3 linked regions of the Drosophila melanogaster genome follow. The protein of the gene in region 3 purifies or fractionates together with the protein of the main gene of each other region. This does not show direct contact. Each region holds a gene or a part of one and is shown on either strand. Other genes may lie near its edges.

Region 1 (4,779 bases), on a different chromosome or scaffold from region 3:
GTAAAATTGGTTTTGGCAAAAATCTGAAAATGTAACTAAAAACATTCCCTTTAGGTAAGTGTTACCGTTTCAATAAAGGTTATATCGTATGGGTATATGGTTTTAATAATAGATTACTTGAAGGTCGCAGCGATCAGCCTTTTACTTCACATTTGTCATATATCAAACCCAATATGAAGTAGTATCAACTTTGGACTTTGATAAATTTATTCTTAAAAATTAATTAACTGTCTTTTTCTTATCACAGTACTTGTTTTTTTATCCTTAGAACGAAATTCATAAGTTATAGTCCAAGGCTCTTAATTATTATGGTTTCGTACCGCAAAAAAACTTGTGGTTAAAAGGCTTGATAATTTAACACATTGGCATATTTAAACCATAAATCGGAGGAGTTAAATCAAACCAAAACGTTATCATTGTCAGCATGAGAAAGTTCAAGTACCAAAATAAGCGGCACGTGTATAATACTGTTTTGGCTTTGACACCTTAAACGCAGCGACTAACGAATACTCTTCTTCGAACATAACCAATAGTAATCTTGTATCGACCTATAGGCACCATAGAAGAGTGTAATCCCCACGAAGGCAGAGTATTAAAGTTTAATTCCCGCCTTTGGAGCTGATAAGATATGGTACGTCCAGTAATTGGGAATGACTGGCCGGTTTTGCACCATTGGCCTGATAGCTTATAAAAGATTTCCATTCAGACGGAGGCGTGGCCCTCTTATCAGCTCACCAATACGCTAAAATCGCCCAGCAGCGTGTGGAATCTTTTTGGAGGTGGTAGTTAATCCAATAGGTTGATAGATTTCTTCAATCTTATCTCCAAGCTTTAATGGTTTTCAATTGCTTCTTTGGTAGCAAAGTTTATTGAAATGAGGAGCCTTCGAGATAGATTGGCAAATATATATATTATAAACATGAGATCGAAATAAATAATCGATTATAAGCCCCACTAGCACATTCTTTCGGCCGCAGATACCCTACACTTCCTCAGTGCAGCATTATCGGGCATACGATAGTACATATATCTATATCTGTATTTTACACATATATGTATGTTTATGTTTCTGCCGACGCTCATACACAACATCATTCTTGTTGGCCCCTTTTTGATTCTTTCTGTCTGGTGATAAGACTGCCCAGGTTTGTTATGGCCACAATCGCGCGTGCCGCAATATAAAAATAAAAATCTCAAAACCACCGATATACACGTGTCTACCTATATATATATACGCCATACACATATACACACCGGCAAGATCAGTTTTTTAGCGAGGGAGCGCGAGAATCTGCTCACTGAGCCGATGATACTGGCGATAATTGGGAGCGTAGGCGGGCTCCCGCTCCTCTCTTCTCCTCTTCTCTCCTCTCACTCACTCGTATCAGCGCCAGATCTGGACATCCATTGGGAGTCGTACGATTCCTCTGACTCGTAGACCCACCGGCTGTTCATATAATAAGTTCCACGCGTCCGATCCCGACGCCCAGACCATTCGAATTCACTTCACTGTTGCGACACAGCGAAGCAACAACAAGCTCATAATGTTCTGAAAGTTTCCACGAGCATAATAGATCCATATCAGGGTTGTTTCGTTTCCATTTTTCATCCGTGGGCATTGTGGAAACAAAGAAGTATATCCTATTATAATATATTATGAAAATAAAGGATTTAATTGCAAGGACATGTAAAAGGAATCTTAGCGATTAGACATCATTAAGAAGGTTACTTTATTTTCAGTAGGCTATTTTCATTCGATTATTCATCAGTCATAATCAAAATTTTAAGTTTCAAATTATCTTATGGCCGCCTTTTATAAATTACAGCTCTTCTAAATTATCTTTATGGTACGAAAAGTCAAGTAAGTCTATAAAATTTGGTGGAGTTTTCAGGCTTTCGAGACCTGTGCCATTTTGGGGCTCGGTGCACAGCTGTTGCTCTCTCCGCCCGCCTTCCCCTCTCTCCTCCTCCAAGGAACCAATGTCAAAAGAAAGTTCTCCGGTGCGACCGGCAAAAACAGCTTTGCGCTAGGCCAAAGTTCGTTGATGTTCCAGTCTCTTTACTGGGTGACATTGGGGTATATCAGATCCGTGCTAAGTGGGTAACAGCTAGATGAAAGCCTTAGTGATTTCCATACGAATTTCATAGTGTCATTTTAAACTTAGCCTTTCAATGTGTTGGATTAGAAGTGAGGCAAATAAAGATGCAATTCTGAGATTATAATATATAATTAATATATAAATATACTTTGTATAACTCAACTATCCTATGGAGATATTAATTGGGTATAGTTAGATTTTACGATTTATTACATGAAATGCCCACAATTCGTTAGCCAGATTTGATATGTTAGCTTTGGTAGCTAAGAGGTATCATAGATTCGATCCGCCCATTTCTATCGAGAACAAATCATTGCCGGCAGGGAGCACGCGCAGACATCGAAACTGCGAGAGGAGCCTCACAGATTGGGAGAGAACGTTAATGTTCCCATTGAAACCACCACGACCACTCTCCCACGGAACTAGTCGAAAGTTTCGAGTTTGTGCGCTCGACCAGTCCGACGGACAGCTTTGAAGTGAACGGTTCGCGAGTTCCTGGGCAGAAGAGAGAATCAGAGTGCAGCAGAGCAACCGTTTGCGAATTCGCGCTGTTCTACCTACATAGACCAAAACCAAACCAATTCCAAGCAAACCAAACCAAACGCAACCCCGAGACCAAACGCAAAAAAAAGAGGCCGGCAAGTTGACAAAACCTCGCGCACATAGGATACATAGGAACCGTGAATTTGTATGTGCTGAGCGCGGTACATAAGCTAAAGAAACCACGTTGACTCACGACCCGTTTGAAATTGTTTTGTAGTGCTGGAGCAGCGATTACCCACTTTGCGCCAGGACAACGACAATAGGCGCAGAGCGCTCCTTCGGAACTTTCGCCATCAATAAGTAAGTCGCCGGTCGGTCGGCGGACTGCGTCTATCGATCAAGTGCATAGCCATTTAATTGCATAATTTGTGCTCAATTTCTTCTTCCACTCGGTTCGGCTGGTTTCTTTCCCCAGCCCTTTCTCGCCGTCCAACCATTGTAATTTGCCATCGTCACTCTCTGGCAGACATGTGTTAATTACATTTTATTCTATTCTATTCCATACCATGCCATACCATGCCATACCGCACCATACCATGTCGTAGCGTAGCATACCCCCATGCCCCCAAACACACACCCGTGCGATAGACACCATCCCAGAGAGGGAAATGTGGCTGTTTTATTTTCGGACTCATCCTACTTGCTGCCCAATATTTATGACCTTCTTATGGTTTCGCCATTGGGGAAACGTGTTTGTCGCACATAGATCCATAATCTATACGTAGTGTGCGCGATTACTCGGAAATTATCTACATATCGTGTGCAGTGTGATCAGGGATTGCGAACGGGGGTGATCCGAAATTTAACCAGTTTATGGGCACAGTTTGATTTGTTTGATTGCTATTGATTCGCCGGGACCGACAGGCCGTCACATATACTTGTATGGAGAGCTGGACCCGGACTAGTCAATGTCAAAGCTTCGTCTCTATCAGCTTTTCGTTTGGCGTGATAAGGTCTAGAGTCTAGACAGGCTGCTCAAGTAAATATAAGGTTTTCGAACGAATGTAAGATCTCTGTAACTTTTGCTGGCAAAGAGAGAGTTTTGTTAAAAAATAGAAGATCCTGGGCGACACGAGTTAATGGCCATAGACTTAATTTTCTAGCGAAAATATAATATAAAAAATAGAAGATCCTGGGCGTTCCATCTCCTTATCAATCATTGCTATTTATAGTTTTTCTTTTTAGTTCAGAATGCGGATTATATAACTTCACATCTGGAACTGAAATACTGAATGCAGTTTAAGAAAACAACTAGTAATCGGAAGTAGAAAAGTCCATCTATTCTTATTCTCACATTTTGGCGACAAAATCAATGTACGACCTACATTCAAAAGCGACTTTGACCTTAGCAGCTTGTCGTTCAAGATCATACGTTTGTGGAGCAAGAAAAATAAATAAAAATAAAATCATAGCACGCACATTTTCCTGTGCAAAAGTTGGTGAACAAAAGCAAAGCGTTCAAGTGACTGGGGCATTCCAGTACTATTAGTGTGTAGTTAGTTGGCTATCATGTTATTATTACATAATCGCCCATTCCGATGGGCAAACACAATCGGGCTTCGGGTGGGTTTTGGCTGAGTTTTGGTTGGGTTTTCGTATGCCGTGTCAACAACGTTTTCGTGTAATTGCATGAGATTGGCCCTGACAGCGCCCACTTTTCTTTCAGAAAATATGAGGCAACACACCCAGTCAACAAGCAACAGGATAATTGATAGCCTGCAAATATTGCCAGAAATACAGCACAAAAAAAGGTGCTGAAGCTATCCCAGAAATACCTGAAATAAACCCTGATTTGCATGCGAAAATACGTGTTATTTTCACATCATGCTAACCAATTGTAGACATGCATTCTTCACTTTATTCCGATGCTAATGCGCTTTAATTTTTAAATACAGCAGGGGAGCCAGTGATCCGGTCTTCAAATAGTTTAAATTCTAATTGAAACGTAAATAGATATAGATTCTTTATCGCAGATCGATATTTAAATTATTTATTGAAAATCCTTTTCATTCTTACGAAAGCGATAGGAGAAAAGCTTCCGATTATAATTTCCGCTTGCGGCTAAGATTAGATTTGCCACGTTTCACAGATACCAGTTTCAAAACTTTTATTAACCTAAAAATAAAGATTATTTCTA
Region 2 (4,432 bases), on a different chromosome or scaffold from region 3:
GCTTTTTGGGATCGGCGCGCACAATAACGTTTAGTTTCTCGCCATAGTTGGGCGTAAAACGTTCAAACTGCAGCTGTTGGCGACTTCCGTAGCCAAAGAGGATTTCGTGGGAGCGATTTGAGTCTGTCACAAAGTGGGCCGCCACGGCTAGAAGTGGTTCCACTGTTTCGGCGCCATCGGAAACGATCTGCAGCGAAACCTTGGGCTTCACAAACTTCTCTGCGGATAAACTGTGAAACATAGTACTTCAGTACGAGTGACAAAACGTGTATTCACATGACCCACCTGTTCACATTCAACAGGTAAATGTGTATGATGCCATTGCGGGTAACACTGGCCACACGTAGCTGACCATCGTCGCGCACTTCGCTGGTTAGACAGTAGGCCAAGTCCTCCATGAGGAGCGTGCAGGCGGAGGCTTTGTTCTTGCCCTTCTTGTCGATCTTCCAGAAGCAGATTACGCGCTCCATCTTCGCGGTGGTCAAAACGAATTCAGTGCCATCTGTGCTCGCCACGCTGCTGATTGTGTTTATTTCGCCCGAGTGGCCGGTGAACGTTTCCACCAGCTCCTTTGTCTTGATATCGTACACCTTCAGCTGTCGGTAGCCAATGGCCAAGGTGCCACTTTTCTGAAGGTAGACTATATTTTGGGGCTTCTCGGGTCCCACTTGCCATTCGGCGATGGAGCGCTCGTCCGTCAAGGACCAAACAACAACCCTACAATCGGCACCCACAGTGTATAGGTGGCCAGCGTTGTCATTTGTAATTGAGGTCACTGGTCCATCATGGCTGTCGCCACTGAGCGTTCGAGAAATCTGCAAGGATTGCTTGTGGTTTATTCGCCTTCAAGGCTCTTTGTCCGACTCACCTTTCCCTCGGCTAATGAGTATATAACCACTGAGCCCTTGTACGTTCCCAGAGCAATGTGAAGCTGATCACCGGCTGCATCCTGTGCCTGGAGGCTCTTCCGCGACTTCTTGGGCCGGGAACCGGCCACCAAAACCCACGTGAGAGCTGTGCACGACCCGGATAACTGTAGATTGGGCGTAAACTCCTGATACAGCGTGTTCGTCTCTGTGTTCCATATCCGCAGAACTCCCGACTCGTCCACCGAGGCAAATAGTTGGCCACCATTGGGCGAAAATCCCAACACGTGCTTCTTGCCCAGCGACATCGTTTTTTATGTTTTGAATTAGAGATGGGCGCTAAGGCTAGTGTTTACATCGGCTCACACTCGTCGCACTTAATGCAATCTATCACGCAAATGTCACGCACGACTCACGATTGAATTGCATTTACCGACGTTTCCTATACCCTTGAAAGATTTATCAAATTATATGCAAACAAAATTCATCGAGTGAACAATATAATAAACCAATGGGAATGTGAATTTTTTAAATAAACTTTTCAGTTTTTAAATTAAATAATAAAATATTTTACTCTAATTGTTTTAAAATTTCCTCAAAACTTAAAATGAGTAAATTCTTTTGCAACTGTAAATATTACTTATTTGGAGTAACTTATATACATTATCCTGGATTATTTAAGTAAATGCGTTCAAAGACCAAGAAATAAACTCGATTTACAGGATTCTTTGGGGCGTAAACTCCACTGCTGAACTATATTGTTAATTGCATGCTATTCATCATAAACCATTGAGAATCGTTACCTTATTGAAAAAGATCAATTCAAATGTAAAATAAAAATAAAATAGCGCCAGTCACCGTTTACGATAATCGATAGGCAAGTGCCATCGCTATCCCATCCAGAATGTTCGCGGCCACTTTGAGGTTATAACTATAGCTGGAATTTACCGACTGACTCCGTGTGAAATTGAAATCTGTGTTAAAAAATGGCTTTATCCGTTCCCAAGGCTCCCGGTGTGTCGCAGATGCTGAAGGATGGCGCCCGGGTAAGTGCAACAAGGAGGAATAACTCTGCGAGGAGTCCGCCGGGCATCGGTTTCATTGAGATTCGGCTTAAAAGAAAACATGCCGTCTTGCGGAGGCGCGTGATTAGTCATCCTCATGGAACGGGGCTCGACATATGAAAGAAAAATGACTAATTTAATGGCTTTACTTGTGTCCTCAGATGTACAGTGGGCTGGAGGAGGCGGTGTTCCGCAACATCAGCGCCTGCAAGGAGTTTGCACAGACCATGCGCTCTGCCTATGGGCCAAATGGCATGAACAAGATGATCATCAATCACATCGAGAAGCAGTTCGTGACCAGCGATGCCGGCACCATCATGCGGGAGCTGGATGTTGAGCATCCAGCCGCCAAGTTGATCGTCATGGCCAGCCAGATGCAGGATGCCGAGGTGGGCGATGGTACAAACTTCGTGGTGGTGCTGGCCGGAGCTCTGTTGGAGTCCGCTGAGGAGCTGCTGCGTCTAGGAATCACCACTGCCGAGATCTCCGACGGCTATGAAAAGGCCTTGGAGAAGGCTCTGGAGATTCTGCCCAATCTGGTGAGCCACAAGATCGAGGACTATCGCAATGTGGAGAAGGTCAAGGAGGTACTCCGCACATCGATCATGTCGAAGCAGTACGGCCAGGAGGACTTCCTCAACGATTTGGTGAGCAAGGCCTGCGTCTCCATCTTGCCGGATGAGGGCACCTTCAACGTGGACAACATTCGCATCTGTAAGATCTTGGGCAGCGGACTGACCAAGTCTGAGGTGGTTCGCGGCATGGTCTTCAAGCGCTTCGTAGAAGGCGATGTGACCTATGCAGAGAAGGCCAAGATCGTGATTTTCTCCTGCCCCGTCGATATTATCCAAACTGAGACCAAGGGCACAGTGCTGATCAAGTCGGCCGACGAGCTATTGAGCTTTTCCTCCGGCGAAGAGAGCCTGTTGGAGAGCCAGATCAAGGCTATCGCCGACGCAGGTGTCAAGGTGGTTGTGGCCGGCGGCAAGGTTGGCGACATGGCTCTGCACTTCCTTAACAAATACGGTCTGATGGCCGTGCGTCTCAACTCTAAGTTCGACCTGCGTCGCCTGAGCCGATCCGTAAACGCCACTGTCCTGCCGCGCATCACCACGCCCAGTCAGGAGGAGTTGGGCTACTGCGACAAAGTTTGCATCGAGGAACTGGGAGACACCACAATTGTGGCCTTCAGGTGGGATTTTCAATGGAATTAGCGAGAGAAAATACCATTATAATTTCTTATTGAATCATTGCAGGAACGAGGGCAAGGACTCGCGCATTGCCACCGTGGTGATCCGTGGAGCTACCGACAACTTCATGGATGACATTGAGCGTGCCCTGGATGACGCTATTAACAACTTCAAGTGCCTGACCCGGGATGGCCGCTATCTGCCCGGAGCTGGCGCCACCGAGATCGAGTTGGCCACCCAGCTGTCCGCCTATGCTGATACTCTGCCTGGTCTGGACCAGTACGCCGTGCGCAAGTTCGCTAATGCGCTGGAAGTTTTCCCCAAGGCTCTGGCCGAGAACTCCGGCATCAATGGCACGGAAATCGTCAACCAGTTGTATTTGGCCCACAACAACGAGGCCGGAAAGACAATCGGCTTCGACATTGAGGCCGAGAAGGCCAGCACCATCGACACAACGAAGGCAAAGCTCTTCGATCTGTACCAGTCCAAGTTCTGGGGTCTCAAGTACGCTGTTGGCGCGGCCGCAACCATCTTGAAGGTGGACCAGATCATCATGGCCAAGCGCGCCGGAGGTCCCAAGGTGCGACAGGCTGCCGGCAGCGATGACGAGAGTTAAGCGGCTCCTCTGTGATTCGTACTCCCTACTATAACTAGTTTCTCCCGCTCCCACAAAGAGTGCATTGTATTTTCATAAACGAGTCCCATGGAAATTATAAATTTCATTAACCACTCTCACACTCACCCACATACACAGCCATGCACACAGTTTCTTGTATTAATAAACTTAACTTACGAAAACTGAACTGAAACGCGTGATCCTTCGGGGGCCTTTGAAATAAAACAACGTGGTTTTCGCACCGAACCCGGTGCCACCGCTAGATAACGAATCTAAGTAAGTTATCGCTTTTTATTTTTGAAATTTAAGCAAACGATTATTCATTTTGTTGAGTACAATATTTCAAATGCTTATTCGCAGATACATTTCAATAATATTTGTGAGGACTCGTCCCCGTTTGCATCGCAAAAGAGTTGTATTAATTTTCGAATAAAATACGATCTCGTTGTCGCTTTTCATTTGAAGTGAAAGGTGTTAAAGTGTATTCGATGACCATGATTGATTTTGAGTACGTGTGCATCTAATGCCCTTCCTTTCCAAATGCGATTTACCCTCTATGGATAAGTTATAGAAAATGACACATCTGAGGACGAAACCAAACCATCCGTGCTCCATTGGGTGGTTCGGCTGTCCTCGGGCTAATAACATTCAGGGATAACTAAAAAGTTTGGATGCAAAGTGTCCGTTGGATCGAAA
Region 3 (5,814 bases):
GGAGTGCGTGGAACGGCTGATCAGAAAGGACATGATCCATCCGCTCACGGATCGCAAGCTCAAGGAGAAGGACATCATTCCCCTGCAGCGAGTAAGTACATCGCGAACTGTGCAACTATTCTGCATTGCTAAGGTTTCTCGACTATTTCACAGGGCGGCACTGGCTACGCAACGACGAACGACCACCTCCAGGCCAAGGAAAAACGGCCCATGCTCCAGGCCTAAGACGAATTTATATAGCCGCCAGCTACTTGGGAGCACTTCAATAGAAATGTAATCGTTTTAGCACTAGCTAGTTTAAACAATCAATTATTTCTCCAGATTTTAAAACAATTGTGTATCATAACTTATACAAAACTTGGGTATTTTATCTGTTCCAATTCTACCTTTTCGTTTATTGCAAGACGAAGTGCATACATACTTATTGTTAAATAGGAAAAAACAAAATAAATACACTGATACTCGTACCACACAACCAATTAACCAGTAGTCCGAATTTCTATGGAAACAGCCCCGTCAAATGAAACCACTGCCAATCTTGGGGTTAAGGTATAATATTATATTCTTTATGTATAATTGTAACGTGTAATGTAAATTGAAGAAGCTGCAGCTGGCGGAATGCGGGCAGGTGGCCGAGTACGTCGTCTAGATACGTCGCTCCTGCTGGTGGCTGGTCGTCCACGTCCAGTTCCACGTCCACTAGGCCGCCTGCACCGACTGCTTCTGCGAGGAGCTGATCTTGTCGCCCAGACTCAAGGCCATGCCCTGTGTGAAAGGCGCGAAATACGGAATACGGATTAGAAAGTTGCGCATGACCATGTGCAGATGTGCGGCTGGTTTGTGCTCGACTCTCACCTGACTCTTGGCGCGAATGCGTATGTGTCCCGTCACCTTCGAATCGGGATCATCGACGGGCTTCTCGATACTCAGATTGGCCAAGGCATTCTCTCCGAAAATGGACCTGCAAAGTGAGCGGATGAGTTGTGATGAGAATATGATGGCTACTCCATAGTGGACAGCTGGACACTCACTTGGCGTACATGTTGGCGGCCATGAAGCCGCACTGGCCGGACAGCGCCTTCTCCGGCGTGAGGCACTTCATGTTGGTGCTCTTCAGCAGGTGCTTGAGATATTCGTGCAGGTCGGTGAAGCTGGTGTTGACGGTGACCTTGTTCTCCCACTCGAAGTCCTGCCACATTTGACGGAACTCGGTGTCCGTGCAGCTGGCCGGAATTATGTAGTCCATGATGTCGATGTGAATGGTATTGAGGACCACCACATTCGTGTTCAGGGCGGTTTCGTAAACTGTTGGTTAAGCGCCATAAGTGAGCGTGAGTGCACTTTAACAGCGAATTCCGCAATTAGCAACTCACCAATATTGCCGAAGATGATGCCGTTCTCTGTGGAGGAGACCTTTACGTTGGCCTTGATATTGCAGAAGTCGTGCGGAGCCAGGACCACTGGATGCGGGCGCTCCACCAGCTTAAGATCGCCCAATGTGGCCAACTCCAGTGTGCAGTTCTGTAGCGTGTCGTCTGAAAGTGATTTCATGGATTGAAAGCGATGCCCTTTCGCCTAAAGATGCACTACTCACTGGTCTGGTTGACGATCAGCACGTCCAGGACAATATCGTACTGATTGACATTGACGTAGGCCTCCGCATAGACGGGATCCGAGAAGCCAGTCAGTTGGGTGACCTTGTTGAGCTTGCTGTTCGGCGAGGCCACGTCGCTCAGCTGGGCGTTCTTGCTGCCGGCCAACGCCTGGTTCAGACTGGATTCGAACACATTCTCGCCCAGCTGATTGTCACGTCCGTTCGAGAGCTGTGCAAAGAGCACCGGATCGTCCGGCTGCACCTTGGCGGTGGCCTTCTGCTTCTCCTTCAACATGCGCTGGTCCTCGTCGTGCTGCGCATCCAGCATCTTGCCCAGAGCCTCGCGGCAGTACAGTGTGAAGACGGAGATAGCCTCCGGCGTGCGTTCGCTCAGCGTGCGCAGGCAGACGAAGATGCGATCGGTGTCATCGTTGGTTATGGGCTTGCTAGGGAAACCGGACTTGCCCAGGTGCAGTATCGAGCTCATGATCAGCATTACCTGCGTGGTCAGACGATTCTGGGCACGCGCCTCCGTCTCCAGCTCTGCGTAGCGCAGTGCCAGCTTGGTCAACGTGGCGGATAGAGCGGCGCCGATGAAGAAGTCGCCGTCCATCAAGTACTGACGCAATGGCGGACGTTTCTCCGCCTTGGCCACCCTGCAGAAAGCATTAACCAGCGTTAGAATCAGAACTGCAAACAACTATTTTGTAGGTGCTACGTATTAAGATGACTCATTGCCGAACAATAGATAATGGGCATGTCTAGCTAGAGGCATACTTATCAGTGCAAGCTGATGCAATGCCACAAGCCTCGAATGCCTCATTGGTGGCATGATATACGTACACGTAGCCATTACTTACGGGGCCAGACTGTAGGCACTCTGGGTGGCATAGGTTCCATCGGAGGTGACCTTGTTGCTGGCGTTTCCGGAGCCAGAGCCCTCTGCGGCGGATCCAGCTGCATTGCCGCCTGCGGATCCCTGCTGCTGCTTCTGCTCCTCGGTCTGGTCGCCGGCCAAGCGACGCTGCTCCGCCTCCACCATGGGCACTTCGCCCAGCGTCTGCTGAATGACGGCAATCACCTCCAGGATTTGCGAGCCCTCCACGTATTCACCCAAAATCCAAACGGCGGCGCGATGAATTTTGGAGGACTTAATCTGCGGGAAGGCCTCAATTAAATGCTCAATGATGAGGGCGCGCAGGGCGGGGAACTTTTGGATGGCTTCGCGTATGAAGATAAGCACATCGGCGGCGGCAAGTTCGTTGGTATCCGAGAGGAATTCAACCAGTACGGGTATAACATTGGCGGCCACATCGGGAAACTTGATGGAGCAGGTGTGCAGGGTGCGGACGAGCAGCTGCCTGTACTTGCCAGTGTCCTCGTGCTCCACATTGTGCGTCTTGGCCACCTCCTTCTTGAGGACCAGCACCATTTCGCCAATATTACGCGAATAGACCAAGTCCAGGGCCAGCGCGAGTGTTTTCCTGCGCACCTCGATGTCTGGTGCGGCCAGGACGCGCAGAACGTCCATCACCAGATCCTGCATCACCTTCTCCATGCCCTCGTGCTCCTTCATGGCCACCAGGCGATCGAGCACGATTAGCTTGACGTTGTTGTCGCTCTCCTTGACCACCAGTTCGATGTAGCAACTGGCCGCCGCCTTGATGGCCGTGGGCGCCAGCGAGAGCGTAATCAATGTGCCAGCGGACTCGTAACGCACCGCATTCGAGCTGGAGTTCAGCAGGTTGTAGATGCAGCGTATGAACCGCGAACGCTCGGCGGGATTGGCATGGCACACCTTATAGATCAGCTCCACGATGACCAGCTGCAGTATATCGCCGAAAGTGTGCACCTGATCGATGCAACTGGCCAGATAGTTGAGCGCTCGCTCCTGGTCCGCATGCAGTAGCATAAGGAAGGCGTTGCGCTTGCAGCTCATGTCCTGCTGCGTGTCCAGGAAGCTGGCAATCAGCTCCGGCCCATCGGGCACCAGCCAATCGAAGTTCTTGTAGATGGTAAAGATGGCCAGCACGGCATTTCGTCGCACATACGAGTGCCGGTGATCCAGGCACGCCCGTATGGCCGGCATCAGTGGCTCCAGCAGCTCCGGCTCCTTCAGCTTGCAGAGGAAGCGCAGTGTCGAGCCGCGCAGAAACTCATTGGGATGCTGCAAATCCTTCCTGTACGCATCGCACACCAGTATCATCTCCTGCAGCAGCTTCCCATCCGCCGATGTCTTCGGCACAATTTCCCAGAAGATGAGCAGCAGCTTCTTGATCGTGTGGTTCTGCACCGGCAGGACGAAGCGTATGATGGTCATGATCAGGCCCGGATACCGCTCCCCATTCAGCAGCAACTTGATTACCCGCTTCAGCGTCTCGATCTTCACGTTCGTGTCGCCCTTTTCGAGATCGCGCTTCAGTTGCATCTCGTTGGTCACCTCCAGGTCCGGCGAGTTGATTATCGTGTAGCACGGCACTTGCGACGTCATCGTGGCTGCCTATTCCGTTCGCCTGTTTATCCCGATAATGCCAATTGACCAACTTATTTCCTAATTTCCAAATTCAGTTTTTTTTTGGTCTTTCCGACGTGTCACAATGCTAACAGGGTGTGACCGTGCGCGGCGCCGTGCGGAAATGCCACGCGAGTGCTGCCAGGGCTGCGCAGTGCTCTAGCGGGGACGCACACCGCCGGCCAGCAACCGCTTCGGCTAACAGCGGGCTGTTGAGCGCACTTGGCGCGCTTTTCAAACGTTTTGTTATTTGATTGTTATTTATCATTCTTATCATTTTTTAGTTCAACAAGTTTAACATTAGAATGTACAAAAAGCAGATGCACTTAAGCTCCACAAATGTATAGCTGGAAATTTACTTGCATTGCAGTGCTTGCATCTACAGAGCGAGTGCTGTTAAGTTACAGTGTCTTTTTCGCGCCATAACTGCAGTTTGAAATGCTATGTAACTATGTAAATGCATGCCAAAAATGTAAAAAATGAAAAGTGTTATAAACAAATTATTCTACATTAAGTTAAAGCTAATGAATTTTTCATTTCATATATAACACATTTAACAAAATATTATTTTGTTATATACTTTTATTTAAAATAGTAAGTATCACTGTTTCAAAAATGCCATTCGATTTGCAATTTGTACTTAAAATAAGTGAGTAGCAGTGCTTCATTTTTATCGCATACAATTTCCCTGATGAATGCCTTTTCCGTGCGGTTAAATAATGCAACGAAGCTTTTGCGCTGACAAACACACTTTGTGCTGGGCGTAGCTCCATTACCTCCCTTCTATTACCTGGCTGCAGATAGCCTCCGTGCCAGAGGACTGCTGATAAGAGGCCACCTCGGACTACTCGGAAAAATCCCCAACCCATTGCGATCCGGGTAAATTCCCGACCGCTCCGGGGCTCTTGACCTTGCCCAGTGCGAAGTGTGTGTGTTTGCATCTGCGGCACTGCCAAGCAATCTAATTCGGTTTCTGGTTTCGATTCCACTAGAAAGATCCCCGCCCACGCCCACGTCCCAAGTCCCACGGCATTTGCCATTGTGATCTCGTTTTGCACTTCATCATTCAATTGCCGCCCCCGCGACTCATTGCCCAGCCACGCCCCCTCCCTCAAAGGAGGAGGCACGGCCTGCATTTTAAGCAGTTCGTCAATTCTCTGCTGGATGTGGACAGTTCTCCACAGCTCCTCTTCGTTGCTCTTACTGCAACGAGCCGGTGCGGGTGACTAGCTAGGTGATCTGATCCCATCGTGGAACAGGTTCTGTGCCCGGCCTGAATAAACAAATGCCCTGATAGCGGGGCGAAATTGAAGTATATAAAACTAGAGACGAGTGCGAAAGCGAATGTGAGTGATATGCGAATAGCGCATACTCTCACTTTTTGCAGAAGCTTAAATGAGCTCCAAGTTTATCCACTCGAAGTTTATCCCCTGCATTTTTAGGAATATAAAACAATTTCGCATAACATATAAATCTAGATTTTGCTTGCAAATTATCTAAACGCAGTGCAATCATTTAAATTATCATAATAAATACTTGCACTTTTCAAATTGGCCATCTCAAGATCGTAGTTATGCGTCCAATTAAAAATTCAAAAAATATCCCCTCGGAGTGTATAAATAAAAGGCAATTACTCTTAATTTGTTTACTTCCAAGAAGAGTGAATTTAAAGTAGCCGAATCATTAGATGAATGCAAATGCAAATGAA

The links. Proteins that work in one complex are often made in the same cells at the same time.
Region 1: the proteins of betaCOP (region 3) and PCB purify together in Drosophila melanogaster (affinity purification with mass spectrometry, with the first as the bait; one large-scale study listed by BioGRID). This does not show direct contact.
Region 2: the proteins of betaCOP (region 3) and CCT8 purify together in Drosophila melanogaster (affinity purification with mass spectrometry, with the first as the bait; one large-scale study listed by BioGRID). This does not show direct contact.

Annotation. Positions count from the first base shown.
Region 1 is NT_033778.4:9,858,533-9,863,311, reverse strand, and holds the start of PCB (pyruvate carboxylase), read left to right. Parts: upstream 1-1,768; 5' UTR 1,769-1,861; exon of another isoform or gene 1,862-2,167; intron 2,168-2,552; exon of another isoform or gene 2,553-2,942; intron 2,943-4,779.
Region 2 is NT_033778.4:8,904,333-8,908,764, reverse strand, and holds CCT8 (chaperonin containing TCP1 subunit 8), read left to right. Parts: upstream 1-1,774; 5' UTR 1,775-1,852; coding exon 1,853-1,912; intron 1,913-2,091; coding exon 2,092-3,122; intron 3,123-3,186; coding exon 3,187-3,736; 3' UTR 3,737-3,921; downstream 3,922-4,432. Other genes in the region: CG30349 (uncharacterized protein), read right to left, coding at 1-230, 286-815, 869-1,174.
Region 3 is NC_004354.4:18,381,009-18,386,822, forward strand, and holds betaCOP (coat protein (coatomer) beta), read right to left. Parts: upstream 4,235-5,814; 5' UTR 4,086-4,234; coding exon 2,455-4,085; intron 2,251-2,454; coding exon 1,595-2,250; intron 1,536-1,594; coding exon 1,374-1,535; intron 1,306-1,373; coding exon 1,032-1,305; intron 962-1,031; coding exon 856-961; intron 766-855; coding exon 700-765; 3' UTR 541-699; downstream 1-540. Other genes in the region: CG6179 (uncharacterized protein), read left to right, coding at 1-91, 154-225. UniProt on the Drosophila melanogaster protein: The coatomer is a cytosolic protein complex that binds to dilysine motifs and reversibly associates with Golgi non-clathrin-coated vesicles, which further mediate biosynthetic protein transport from the ER, via the Golgi up to the trans Golgi network.